Lytechinus pictus: one gene and its partner. The protein of the gene in region 1 purifies or fractionates together with the protein of each later gene. This does not show direct contact. Links are inferred from orthologs where the notes say so. Each region holds a gene or a part of one and is shown on either strand. Other genes may lie near its edges.

Region 1 (7,183 bases):
ATCACGGATGTGTGGTTTTATCAATTGCCCTAGGGCAGTAATCAGAATACAACCAAGGTAATCAATTGTTTTAATGTCCTCATAAGGAAAATATAATTTAGAGTAAAACCTTCGAAAAAAAAATTAAAGCCATTTTGTGTATTGGAGTAAATGGAAAAGTACTCCTTGCCTTACACCAGTATGACATCACCATACGGCTAATTTGAATTCTCCAAGGGTATAAGTGATTACCAATTTTTACAACTTTTAAAAAATTCATAGCTTTCTTACTGTTTGTCCAATATTGTTTAAACTTTTGCCTATCTACTTGTCTGATATTCCTTTTTCTTCTAAAAACATTTTTTTTTTTTTTTTTGGGGGGGGGGATTTCCCTTTAATGCCTAGAAACTTACTTTGCAATTCTCATGAAATCTGTGTATTGTTGTGGCTTTCCATTCAGTTTGTTAGCTGTCACTCCATTGCCCTGCAAAATAAACATGTCTTATTATTGTTTCTTCTCTTTTATCATTTCTATTTCAAGACTTGGGTACACTTTCAAAAGAAAGTTTAACATGTGTAAAAAGACTAAACCTCTAATAAAAGTTTTATAAGATAAGAGGGACAAGCACTACAAATATTTTTTAACAAATGATCTAAGAAGAATTTAACGAAGGTTTATATACACTGCATAACAGTTAAAATAGTAAAGCTGTATTTGATCTAAGCATTCAAGTTATCAGTTACATGTATTTAGTTAATATAACATGAAAGATTTTTAATATTCCCATTTCTGATACCCAAAGAAAAAAAAATTGTATGTTCACAATTTCATTAAGAACTGACCCAACATATCCTTTACATGATTCAAACAATTATGAAATATGACTAACATGTGATGTACATTGTGATGTCATCAAATAAAATGGAATGTTACACATTGTCTAATAATTTTAGATTTCTGAAAGTGAAAGTGGCACGTGTATGAATAATGAAAAGTTTACCCCCCCCCCTCTCCAGATACTTACTTGTCTTGACTGCATGGACTTGATGGTGGAGAGGAACTCCTGGGTGCGATCTCGGCAAGTCATATCGCCAGTATCTACTCCTCCTGCCGTGGAAAGAGTCTCTGGTGGAATGTGAGTAGTGACCGTCCAACCGCTGCGTTGGTGGTACCCACTGTTACCGGAAAACCTGCTGCTCTCACTAATGTTTTCTTCAGTTGAAGGGTGTCGACGTCTATTGTACATTGGTGGTGTATGGCATTGCCAAGATCTGGAAGACAGACAATGCAACTGGTGATATCGCAACTCAATAACTCTAATTGATTGCCCTTGAAAGATTGAATTCTGAATAAAGAAGTATTTGCATCAAGATAACTGGCAAGGGGGGGGGGTATCAAAATGTAAATCAGGGAGAAAAATTATACTGGAGCTCAGATTTTGCCCCAAAAGAGCTCTGGAAATAAAAAAAAAACCCTAGAAAATCCCCATTCACTATTTTAAAGCTGATCTATTAAATGCAGATTTAGGCAGGATGTAAAAAGCCCCCCAAAATAGAAATATTTTGACTGGTAATCATTCTTGAAAAGAGCACAAAATGTGGACCCCCCCCAAAAAAAAAAACAGGAATGAAATGTCTAGATTCTACACATCGAAAACTGCCCAGAGAAACTAAACAATAACATTACAAATCCTTACAAATGAAGCCCACTCATCTAATCATTAATTATTCAGGTGTGGATGTGTATAGGCAACTCATGTGACATAGATGAAAAAGGGTCATATTTTCAAGGCCCTTATTTTCTCAAAACAACAAAATAGATGATCAGTGATTTTGTAAATTTTACAACTTTTCCCAGAGAAAACATGTTAGGCAATAATTAATAGGATACCATTTTCAAGTGACCAAAATATTTAAATTTTGCGAAGAACGGGGCCATCAGAAAGGACCCAACTGGGAAAGAGTTCCTCTTGCAACAGGCAGCCACCCAAAATATCAGATTGTCGAGACATCCGGTTCATTCACTTCCTGTTCCTCTATCGTTTTTTTTTTAGTGTTTCTTTAAAAAAAAACATGATGGAGGAACAAGAAGTGAATGGACCGGAAGTCGCGACAATCTCGTTATTTTGGGTGGCTGTCGCGATGTCGCCAGTCGGAGTGTCGCAAGACTGAGGAACTCTTTCCGTCTGTTAGCTGGCACAGTTGGTGCTTTACTGGACAGGAATAACTGTTGTTTCTGGGGATTCTTTACCAATTTCTGACATTCTACTATCATCCCCATTAATATTACTATACTAATAAGTCAAAGTGGAGCCTTTGGTCTGACTACAGAGTACAGTTATTAAGTTAAACGTTAACTTAAACTTACACGTTACATTACACAATTTCTCCAAAGTTTCAGCTCAGACTCGGTAACGAAACAGATGTCTGCTTAAAGATAACAATCAAGAAGTTCTTCAGAAACTCAATCGCATCAAACCACCAACCACCTTTACTCAATGTTGTTAAATTAACGTCTCTTTCCTTGACTCAAGACTCTTGTTCAATGACGATGTTAGTTAGTTTTTTCACACATCATTCATGACGAAATGTCATTCACGAAAGACCAGCTCTGAATTGATGACTATTGATTAAGCCTCCTCTTTTCTTGAACAATTCTGTGACAGACGAAATCTGAGGAAAAATAACTTTGTCAATAAATGCAGATGCGACTCTCGTGCCACAATCTATCAACTATAATATAACCGTTAGAAGGATAGATCTACAAACATCTTGCTTCGTTGAATCATCACAACTTGCCACCGGTAATTACGCACAGTCTGTCTGTGTACGGTATAGTGGTAGTGGCCGCACCGGCTGGCTGAGCTGAGTGCATGCATAGCTAGGTAGTGGGTATGCAGTGTCGAGTTAGTTGACGTAGCAAGCTGCTAGTGTACCATGGGATAGTACGGAGACTCCCTAATAACTCGTCCTCATCAAACTCTCTTTACTCAATATACATCGTTCGATCTAAACGAAAAGTAGGCCTATGTGGCCTCTACCTCCATTTCTTTTTATCCAAAGCTACCAAAATTTTCTTCAATCATTGACCCTACTATTTCCAAAGAGACAATATAACCCTTAATCAATAATTCGATGTCAGTGGCGTAGTTATAGGATTTCTTTTCCTGGGGGGACACTGGGAGTCCCTGCTTTTTAATCGGGGGTGGGGCACTGAAAGTGTCCGTGCATACTGATTTGTCACAGGGGCGGATCAAGCTTTCGCCAGTAGGGGGTGGGGCCCGAAATCATTTTCACCCATATTTCCCCCGATTTTTCCCGATCGGCCGAGTTGATTTTTGTCACTTCTTAGCTATATTGTTATAAAACTAATCTCATAAGCCCTATTTAAAAAGTGCGAGCGGACGTGAAGCGCGATCTAATTTTTGTTTTTGAACTTTCATGTAGGCCTATTTGGTCCTGAAATTTTAACATTCTGGGCAATGTTTGTGATCCTGCGAACAAGATGCGTATGTATATAACTAGATAATTACTGCGAACGCGCGGCCAAGCGCGATCAGAAATTTTGAATAAACGTTCCGGCCTGATAAGAACTGTTTGCAGTTAGCCCCCGAGTTATAGCCATGAAGACGATAAATATTGTAACATGCGCGATGCGCAAGCTGAAAATTGTTGTCATTCCGACCTAAAATAATGGTCATTCTAAGCAGGGGCGGATCCAGGATCTTTCGAAAGGGGGCACATTTTTTACAGGAAAACTTTGACAAGCAAAAAAAAGGGTTTTATTAATAAGGGTATTTCGTCCACAAAATAATTTGACAAGCAGAAAAAAAGTCTTCAATTTCAAAGGGGGTGGGGCACACTTCTGTCTTAACGGCATCTTTACATTACAAAATTCAATTGTGCCTTCCATGGGGGGGGGGGGGGGCACGGGCCGGCGGGCTGTGCCATCCGCCAACGGTAGGCACTTTTTGTAATCATGAAAGGGATAGGAATGTAACTAAACAATGATACTAGCGCGAAGCGCGAGCTGAAGAAAATTCAGATTTTAGACCTAGAAACGGGACACTCTGTCCATGTTTTGTAAATCATGATCTTCCTAGTAGGAAATATAGTTCAGAATATTGAGGCCTATACATAACTCACCAATCAAAATGAGAGCGTGCATCGGTAGCTGATATGTCGACCGTGAATATGGATATTTTGAGAACTTTATGGAATACACGAAAATAATAGGGCCTACCTGACAAATCAAATGTTAATATTGACCTTAAAACTAACATGTTTACAAAGCACTTTTTAAAATTAATTCGTAAATCAAACAAAATAATGAAAGTTCGATTTCGAACTGAAATATGTTTTGTATATTGAGCAAAATATATAATCACCCCATAACCAAAACAGGCAATTCAAGCGCGAAGTGAAATGAAAGATTCCTCTCTGAGGGAAGAGTTCCTTTTGCGACAGCCACTCAAAATTTTGTTTATGTTCATAAATCATAACATGAAAGATTTTGTTTATTTTCCAAGTCTTCTCCTCATTTTGTTTTATTCACTCGTCTTCCTTCTCTTTTTTCTGCTATTTTTCCCTACTCTTTTTTGTCTTTCCCCCCTTTTTTAAAATCTTTTTTTTGCTCCACCAGCGGGGGGGGGGGGGGGGCGGGCCCCTCGCCCCCTGGATCCGTCTATGAATTTACTTTAGAATGGGCAAAATATATAGTTATTGCACTGATGGTCAATAAACTATATGCCCCAAAAATGCCAAATGTTGTTGGTGGACACAGTCATACTTATCCTCATGGAGCACAATAGGCCTATGGGAGTGTAAGCCGGAGTCTCCGCCCTTTTTGTCTCCACCAAACCAAATAATATTGCATTTTAGACGACACACTGTCACGCCGGAATCGGCAGTCCCGCGATGATTTTACGGGTGTGATAATTACGTTTTTTTTTAAAGGCGCCGCCACCACTGCATGCAGGCTTAGTCTGCTGTGCCAACCCTATAGCTTCACTAGAATAAGGGTCAGAATGTGCAGCCTATATTCATGACGTGTACTGGAAGCCTATTGCCACAGCAAGTTTATGTGCTCGTCGATGCGTGGAGAGATTGTTGATCAAAGTATGTGCTGCAGACTATACTCGTCGCCGCTGGCTGCTTATATGCTCCTCCCCCTTGCCAAAACCTGAATCCATTTACCTATAGCTATGACTTTCTTATTTTACACCTGGGGCACGTTTTATAAAGAGTTGCAACTTTGCCATTATGGTAACTACCATGGTAACCTTGATTTTTATTGGCTGCTGAGCCCTGTTGCCATGGTAGTTGCCATAATGGCAAAGTTAAAACAATATTGTAACTCTTTATGAAACGGGCCCCAGATTTTGATTGAATTTTTTATATGCTTGTTTGATTTTCGATTGATTCAGAAAATCCGGCGCCAGCTAGCCTTCTTTAATTTTACTGTTCCTTTCTTTATAAATCCAAATTTGAAGTCACGGATCTGAGAAGTATTTTGAATATAGTTAAGTGAAATATAAGTTTTTCATGAGGCAGCAACTGAAGTATATATGGGTCGGGTCGATCTGAGCTGGGAGTATTTTTGTTACGGCGATTCTTATGTAGGACGATTTGTCCGGCTCGACGTACATAGGGCATATTGCATAGACGTGACATCTTTCGCAATCAGTCTCTTCTTGAACTCGCGGCAGCGCTGAACCATCGCGCTTACGAATACCAACCCGACAGACCCGGCGCGGTTGAAGAAAGGTTTCGATACGAAGTACAGCACCAGCTCTGTCTGTTTCGTCTCCAATGCCAACAGAGAACAAAATTCGATTGCTAATATATCTTATAATATCTGGTTTGAATTGTCATCAGCTTGTGAGACATGCCGCCAACACTGTCACAAGCACAAGGTCAAGGCCATGAACATGTTCAAGGACAAGGAGGTAAACAAAGTCAAGTTAGGCCTAACTCTTTTTTTTACTTTAGGAATAGGATCATGGATGGAGGGCCGAGGGTCGGGTGTTCGGATAGGCCTACTTTATATTTTTGAAGCCTTCTTGTTTGTCTTTGGATTACACTAAAAATATGAATTTAATAGTTATAATCATCTTCTATTTTGTCTCTATAATATTTCCTAACATTTTGTACTAAAAATTGATGAAACTTCGCTTGTAAATTTTTCCAAATGACTTTCTAAAATTGATCGTCAGTACACACAACCTGTCTTAGAAGTTAGATAGAGACATTATTTATATCATAACCTTGTTCATTGAATGAGTGGATAGAGAAGGTGTTGGGTGTGTGTAGCTAGCCAAGCAGGAGGCTCCTAACGTTAGAGTGTAAAACTCATTTACTAACATGTGCTTACTCTCCACGGAGCCAGGAATTGCGTCCCATTTATGTGCGTGTACCGTGAAAGAAACAGAAATTTTTGCCCCCGAGATTTCTAGTCTACTTTCCATCTAAAAGATCTTGCCTAAATCATGTAAAAGGGATAATAATAATAATGATATGCAACATTTATATAGCGCTTAATACAAATGTTTCTAAGCGCTGCATACTATTACCCTAGACCAGGGGTTCTCAAACTTTTTCTTTGAAGGGCCAGATGAGACTCGAAATAAACCTGAAAGGGCCAGGGTGAGTGGATTTTTTGGAAAAAAATGTGCGCGAAGCGCGAAGACCCTTGCGGCCGGGGTCCTAGATGCTATCTGGGGCAATCTGGCCCTTATTTTTGGGAGAATTTAATCCAAAAAATAATTACGGTTTCATATGGAACACAGGCAATATCAGAAAAGATTTCAAAATACAGCAAGAGTCAATATAGACAACAAAATTGTTGTACTTTGTTAAAAGGAATGTAGATTGTACCTATACGTCAATTTTAACACATACCTGGAATTTAAGAGACAGATAATGTTTTGTAGTAGGCCTATCAATATTTTTTTTTGTCAAAGTAGATTGGCCAACACATTGGCCTTGTACTCGATTGCGGCAAAATGAAAGCATACTTGTCTGTCCATTCTTTATGGAAAGCACGATTTTCAGCATGCACCTTTCCTTTATTTGCAGAATTTGATGCCATCTTGACCTGGCTATTATTAATGATGACTAATGTACCCCTGAGAAAATCCGCAGAACTTGAACCGGCAATTAAGTTTACGTTTTAACCAAATTGATCGCGTGTTGGAATGTATGC
Region 2 (7,242 bases), on another chromosome or scaffold:
TTGATCAATAAGATTGCGTGTTGCATATCACGTACGCATCAGGCTACATTTAAGTGTGACTCTCATACTTAAATCTTTGTGAAACACCCCCCTGGACATGTATCACAAAGTTTTAAATCTGAATAAAAGTCATGCCTAAGTTGCCAAATTGCACATGATAGTAAATCTGTAATGATATTTGATCAATATGCGATTGCACCCATCCCCTCAGCATGATATGACTGAGACTGCGGCAGTAATATGTTATAAGACACTCAACTGGAATTTAAATGTGATTTCGTAATAAGACTTGAATCATTTTGATAAATTGCCCTAGGGCAGTTAAGAATTTGTATTGATATATGAAAATCATGTGTATTCATAAGTTACATGAAAGGTAACTACTGTGCAAACAAAGTAAATATGGTGTCCAATACATAGTATTTGAACAATCCTTTATTAATTTGAAAGTTACAATCAGACCATTATGTTTAGTTGGTCATGACATCAAGTTCTAGCAGTTAGTACATTACACTGTAATCATATTTTGGCTTTTATCAGACAATGGAGTGCTTTGTCAATTCACCTACATTTTAGGATTAAATCTACTCTTGTTATGTGTATATCTCAGTAAGATGGGAGTTAGGGAGGGAGCACAATGTTTTGTGGATCCTCTTTCCCTATATCTAGTCCCACCTGATGAAAAAAGTGTAGCCACCTTCCTTTAAAAGAAAAAAAAAATACTCATGAGGACATAATCAGGATTTGTTTTGGATGTATGTCTCTAGATGTAATTAACAATTTGAAATGTTGACTTCTAGATTTTTTTTATACAACATCATTATTCAAAATTAATCAATTATCCAAGGTCAGAAATTACTTTTTGATATTCACTGTCCAACAATAAGGTCTTGTGTGCTGATAAATGTATCTGAAGATGAAGTGAACTCTGGTTCTAGTCTTCTACCTTATTCTAAACGAACACTGTGTATACAAAACACAATCTTCTTAGTGATATCAAGCATTATCTTTTGGCAAACAATCTACCAAAACTGGAATGGAATGGAAGATCGATTATATTTTTTGAATATGTCATTGTAACAGAAGATTCTAATTGGGCAATTAAATCTTAGTGGTAAGAAGACAAACATACAAAATCACTTTGGCTGTAACCTATTTCCCAAAAAGTCCTCTCACTGGTCACTTCTTGACAGTTACAATATCTCTGAATGTCATATTAACTCTGGTATTCAAAGCTTTCTTCCTGACAGGCAGCGAATGGTACCAGTAAACATTAGTAGGATAATTCATCATGAGTAAACTCCCATGTTCTAGCTCCACTTTGACTGGTGGTATCTTTCGTTTGGCCTGAGATCCTCGGGCCTCACAGTGCCTGAAGATGAAGTCACGGTTCTGTCCAAGAGACAGGGACGCTATAGGACTAGTTGAAACCAAGTCTTTCTCGTCATCCCGATGTTCACCCATGTAGTTATTTCCATCGGCATACCTAGATGTAGACAATATGACAGAAATTAGTGTCTTGGTCAAATGTTTGAGATATTTTTAAACTAATTTTTCATATATAAATGATGTATTACAATCTGCCTACCAAGTCAACTATTCCTGTTAAATGGTAGATGAAATGATAGAAAATAAAAATGGCTACATACCATATAAAAGTGGGAGAGAAGACAGAGAGGGGAGAGGGTGTGACTTTAGTACACTGAACAATGTTAATAATAAGACAAAATAAAGAGATAGAAGTAGGGAGAGACATACACAGGGAGAGAGAGAAAAATACAATTATAATTAAGAATTGAATCAAACCTTACCTGTTGATGAGAACAAAGTTAAATTTGAACCCTGTAACCTCTTGAATCCTATCCCTAATTTCTAATAACAGTGGTATCCATGGTTTAGCTGGAACAGTCACTCCAGAATATTTGTATGTTACACCTGCATCACCATGTGCTACCTGCACAGATTCAGAATAAAAGCGAATATTCTGAATTGATCAACTTAATTTTTAATAATTAGCACCCAAAGCAAAGCTTTCAAGTAGATTATGGAGAAACAAACTCTTGTCAGGGGACAATGACTGAGTCTTTCTAAGTAAAAGAACACCCACAAAAACTGAACTTCTTATTTTACTTTTTAATAGGCAGTCATCACTGTATGACAATATGTTCCACTACAGGCACTACTGCTGCTTTGGTTTTAAATGAATAATGCTAAAACATGCCTCCTAATTTGTGTAATGTAAAAGGCTACAATGCATACCAGATCATTGCATGTGAGGGGTGAGGGGGGAAAAAGATGTTCTAAGTTGAGAACACATTAACATCTTTGGAATGTAAGAATATATCACCACATGGAAAAAAAATCATTGTATCAGAAAATGAGCAGGCAACATAGAAAAACAAGATAATTATAGGGTTAGAAAATGATTGATAAATAGGACAAAACTGAACATCACTCTTTTCCATTGATACTGTAATATAAATTTAATGAAAACTTTTTATATCATTTTTGAAATTGAATTGATCACAGGTTCACAACTTGTTCAAACATTTTCTTGTATATTGATAATTGGTTTATAACAGAATGCAAACTAGACGTTCAGCTATTTAAAAGGTATTAAAGTCATATGATAAAGGCTAACTTTTAAAACTTACCTGTTTTCTTGGAATATCATGCCACTTTCCATAAACTTTAATCCTTGCAAGATCACCCGTAAAATAATCTAGAGACTCCTCGCAACGTTGGAACAGAATATCTGCCTCTTTCTTTGAATACAGATGCAAGTAATCACAGTCAAGATTCTCTCGGGATATTTTTTTCTTTTGTGGGATATGCTGGAGCATCCTAAGATCTATTTCTGAAGATTCAGTCTTGCTATCAATTCTCAACCGTTTAGATGTAGGTTCGTTCTTTTCATCCTTTTCTCCATCATGATCATGTTGGCTACCTGAAGCCAATCCTATCTCTGCAGGTTTCTTGACTTTCTTTTTTCTGGTGATATACTTATCCATAATTTATAATCTGAGCTGTGTCAATTCAACTCAGCATATTGCCAGCCTCTTGTTTCCTGTGGGAGGGAAAAAAGAAATTAGATCTCTGCCTGTCATATTCTATATTGGACATCTTGAGTAAGCAAAGAGGGTAGGCAACTTGGGGTATTATAATTATATGCATGATGGAAACTGTCACAATGCAAAGAACTGATCTGTGTAGATGCAGAGCAGAAATATTAAACCATGCTAAGTAATATTTTGATCTGATAGCCTACAAGTACAACTCGAACTTTATATCTAGACCAATATTTTCTGCTTCTGTTTATATTCGTTCCAATCCAAATCTAATGTTGGACTGACTTGTCCCGGGTTGGAGTGATATCACCATTGAAATGAATGAAATATAGACAGGACAGCTCGACAGCAGGATGTTGTACTATAATGTAGTCTTTTTAAGACTTAAGTCATGTAAGTTAAGTCTGGGCCCTGAGGGGTAGCCGAGCAAAGTTAATTATTTGAGAGTACAATCCAAATAGTCTATCTTTCTTCTCAAATTCTCAAACAGTGTGCATATATCTCTAGTCTAATGAAGCTCGCTCCTCAAAATTCTCAGTGACTAAACCATAAGCTGTTTCCACTTTCCAGTTCCACTCACTTCCATATTGGAGCATAACAACTATTATGCAATAAACATTGTTTTCTGAATATACTAACGAAATATTTCGGCAAGAAAGATTTAGATATATTTACGAGTGAGCACATCATTATTTTATTTAAATAAAAATATTTGATTCAAAACACATAATGAAAAAATCATTTTTAATGCATAATATTAAAACAAATTATTTAAGGAGAAAATAATTCGAACCATATGATAATTTCAAAACTATTGATTTTTTTTTAAATATTGCCTTGCAAGATTGGCAAAACGATTCACTCCTGCGCGAATTAAATAGTGCCGATATCTTCATTGTTTATGTTGACTGAGCTTCCACGTAGTCGAACGGTGACGATTTTGATATTCAATTTTTCTAATTTTCAGCCAAATTGAACTGCAAGTATTTACTGTACGTATTATCCTTGGATTGAGTAAGAGGAAAATGCGAAACATGTCTCAAGGAAATCAATGGGAAGGTGAGAAATTAAACATGTACGACTCGGATACGATAACAAGTCGAAGTGAGTCGACGAACGAAGGTGGTGCTGCCCGTGTTGGTGTGTAACAGTTGAGTCTTGAGATAGTCATGTCATGACAGTGGTGTGTGACGGAGGCTCCGCTAGCGCTGCCGTCGTGGCGCGTGCGTGGCCGGCCGTAGCCAGGCGGCTTCTTGAGAGTAAAAATCATTTACTAACGTAGGCTTACTCTAAATGAAGCCAGGGAGTCCTCCCTATTCACCTACACGAAGGACCCCAAATTTTGCCCAAAACCTGAAACTTTCACCCCCGAGATTTCTACTTTCCTTAACTAAAATATCTAGCTCTAAATCATGTTGTTGGGATAAAACTTCATTTCCGACATTTCTACGCTCTCGTTGTTATTTTTAAACAAGAATTCATTAAAAAAATGAGAAAAACATTGTGAAAAAACGGAAGAGACTTGCCCGATGTTTACGCCGCCATCTTGTTTCTTATTGTACTTCCCCAACGTTACGGACGCGAGCGTCGCGTTTTTTTTTTTTTTTTTTTTTTTTTACAAAATATTCACAAGTAAAGTATACAAAACCAATTCAACGAAATAGTTACCACATTGACGGGTGACGGCAAGATTGTAAATTATGATATAAAATCATTGACGAAAATGTGAAGTAGTTCATGGAGTTTCGCCGGTATCGCGATCCAAAAATTCTATTCCGATCGATGAATGCAAGCTGTGCTGGGAAACCGTTCTGAAAAAAGTATGACCTCACTTAGCGGACCAAAGTTTTTGTGGAGATTCAAACAAAAAATCAAGCTCAAAAAGGTAGAATTTTATATCAGATTGACGACAAAATGCTAAAAGAATCAGTGAGTTCCACATTGATTGAACTCACATTTTTATGATATCTGCTTGCAAAATGATATCATGAATTCATGATGCTTGTTGAGGATATCAGATTTCTTCGGAACGGGCGCTAACGGTGACAAATTTCCCAATCTTTTCATGAATACTCAACTTATCCTAACAAAACTTACGCCAAAGGGTAATTTTAGGTCGCTTTTTATGTTGATGATGTCAGATTTTAAGGATATCGGCTAGTCTTTGAGATAATGACCTTCCGCGAAGTATGGCCATACTATCATCCCCCGGGGGGCCAGTCAAATATATTACTGTACACACGCGTGACCAAAAAACGCGTTAAAGGAGAATGAAACCCAAAATTGAATACCACATAATATCATTGATAAGTACATGCCAATCAAAATGAATCCACTTATACCCCAATCTGATTTCCCAGTATCGAGTACCACCTCTTCAAAGTTGGGCTTCTTCAGGTTCGAAGTCTCTGAATGGAGATCGCCATTGTTGTGGGGTTTGTTCAAAATTGTGACGTCAGCGACGTACAACTGCTCTCGGTAGTATCGGTACTTCCATGTGCATAACGCATAGCTAGCTATACAGGCTGAAACTGCCCCCAAGTTTGCATAATATAGATACTTTTTTTACCAGAAATAAATAAAATATACACATAAAACACTTAGAAATAATATTAAAAAGCTATTTAAATTATTTTATGGATTAAAAACACAAATTGATGAGTTTTGATGAAAATTTTTACAAATTTATTCACGATATCCAAATTGGCAAATTTGACAAAGCTAAATTTGTACGTACTGTCCGGACCGTCATGTACCCTGAACCGAGTGATCGTGTTATGTTGGAAGTTTGGTTATTTATCCCGTTTGAATATCGGGAAATTGTTGTGTTATATTTCTATATATCTAACGTTGTTTATTATTTGTTACCGTCGATTTTAAATAAAACAAAACATATCGCGGACGTTTGTATTGAAAAGGATGGCCGAGAGCCTACGACTTCGAGCCACAAATAGATCTACTCGGCCGAAGAAATCGCTCAACGAGCAGAGCTAACTTAGAGGTATTATAGAGTAGAGCCTAGAGGCACGTTGGCGCACGGTCAGCAGCAGCCACCCAATTTTTATTTAGGGAGATTTCTGGCCTCAGCTTCTGCGGATCGTGAATTAGGTAAAAGCTAGATGCATTTTGTCCCCTTTTCTGACCGATTTCAGCAGCCATACGCTTGGCAGTATACCATCCTGATCAGCATTGTTTTACGCCAGCAATCACAGGCGCTCGCCGGGGTTGGACACTGAGGTGTACGTCGCTGACGTCACAACCCCCCACGGAGATATGGGGAGTATGAGCAAAATGGCGACCTCCACGGGTCTTTCGAATATCAAAATATTGATAACTTTGAGTTGGCATATCATGGGAAATAGGAAACCGTTCTGCCTCATTTTAATTTTATTTTAATTAGTGAAGTGTAATTGGCTTATGACCAGATAATAAATCTATCCTTTCATTTTCCTTTTAATAAGGGTATCGAATACACCAATTTTCAAGAAAAAGGGTTGTTTGAAAGACTGGTCAATGGTAAATCACGGGTTCAAACGTATTTAGGGTATACATGTTTTTTTCCCCAAAGCTTTTTCCCCGAGGTCATATTTTGGCGACAACTTGTTTAGGGGCCAAAAATGTGTAAATAAAGCTCGCGAAAAACTTGTTTAGGGGGTTATTTTGCACACAGAGAAAAACTCGTTTAGGGGGTGTTTGAAAATTCCTTGGTCACGCGTGTGTACAGCAATATATTTGACTGGCCCCCCTGGTATCATCCCCATTCACCGACGGTAACGGTAGTCCGTTAGTGCAAGCCTCCATGTACGTTAATCATCATGATCATGTCGCCCAATTCGGGCCTACTAGATCTAGAATCTAGTGTTAGGTCTAGATTTTTTTTTTTTAGGTCTAGATCTAAATGACATATCTTGAACGATGGCCCACTATTTTCGTTAGACTCTAATCTTTCTTTATACTGCGCATATTCCAAGAAAATGTAAGTAGGTCAACCTTTTTGTAATTTCTGACATTCCAGAAATCTCAATTGTTCGAACTATTCGATTGTTTACTCTGGTGAACGATCAAATGGCAAAAGGGTATTCGTCCCTTACTCCTATTTTCTTCTTACAACCCTTAAAGCTTCTCTGTAAAATGAAGAAAAGATGTATCCTTGCCTCGATCAATACAAAATGTC

Evidence for each region. Proteins that work in one complex are often made in the same cells at the same time.
Region 2: the proteins of syntaxin-5-like (region 1) and Golgi SNAP receptor complex member 1-like purify together in Homo sapiens (affinity purification with western blotting; 3 studies listed by BioGRID, with this or other methods). This does not show direct contact. The link is inferred for Lytechinus pictus from reciprocal best matches to the Homo sapiens genes STX5 and GOSR1.

The regions. Positions count from the first base shown.
Region 1 is NC_087251.1:41,209,384-41,216,566, reverse strand, and holds the start of syntaxin-5-like, read right to left. Parts: upstream 3,007-7,183; 5' UTR 2,348-3,006; intron 1,252-2,347; 5' UTR 1,227-1,251; coding exon 1,005-1,226; intron 464-1,004; coding exon 393-463; intron 1-392. Other genes in the region: methionine synthase-like, read left to right, coding at 5,867-5,927. UniProt on the Homo sapiens protein: Mediates endoplasmic reticulum to Golgi transport.
Region 2 is NC_087246.1:8,978,976-8,986,217, reverse strand, and holds the start of Golgi SNAP receptor complex member 1-like, read left to right. Parts: upstream 1-4,227; 5' UTR 4,228-4,242; coding exon 4,243-4,327; intron 4,328-7,242. Other genes in the region: DNA oxidative demethylase ALKBH2-like, read right to left, coding at 1,180-1,486, 1,812-1,954, 2,655-3,011. UniProt on the Homo sapiens protein: Involved in transport from the ER to the Golgi apparatus as well as in intra-Golgi transport. It belongs to a super-family of proteins called t-SNAREs or soluble NSF (N-ethylmaleimide-sensitive factor) attachment protein receptor.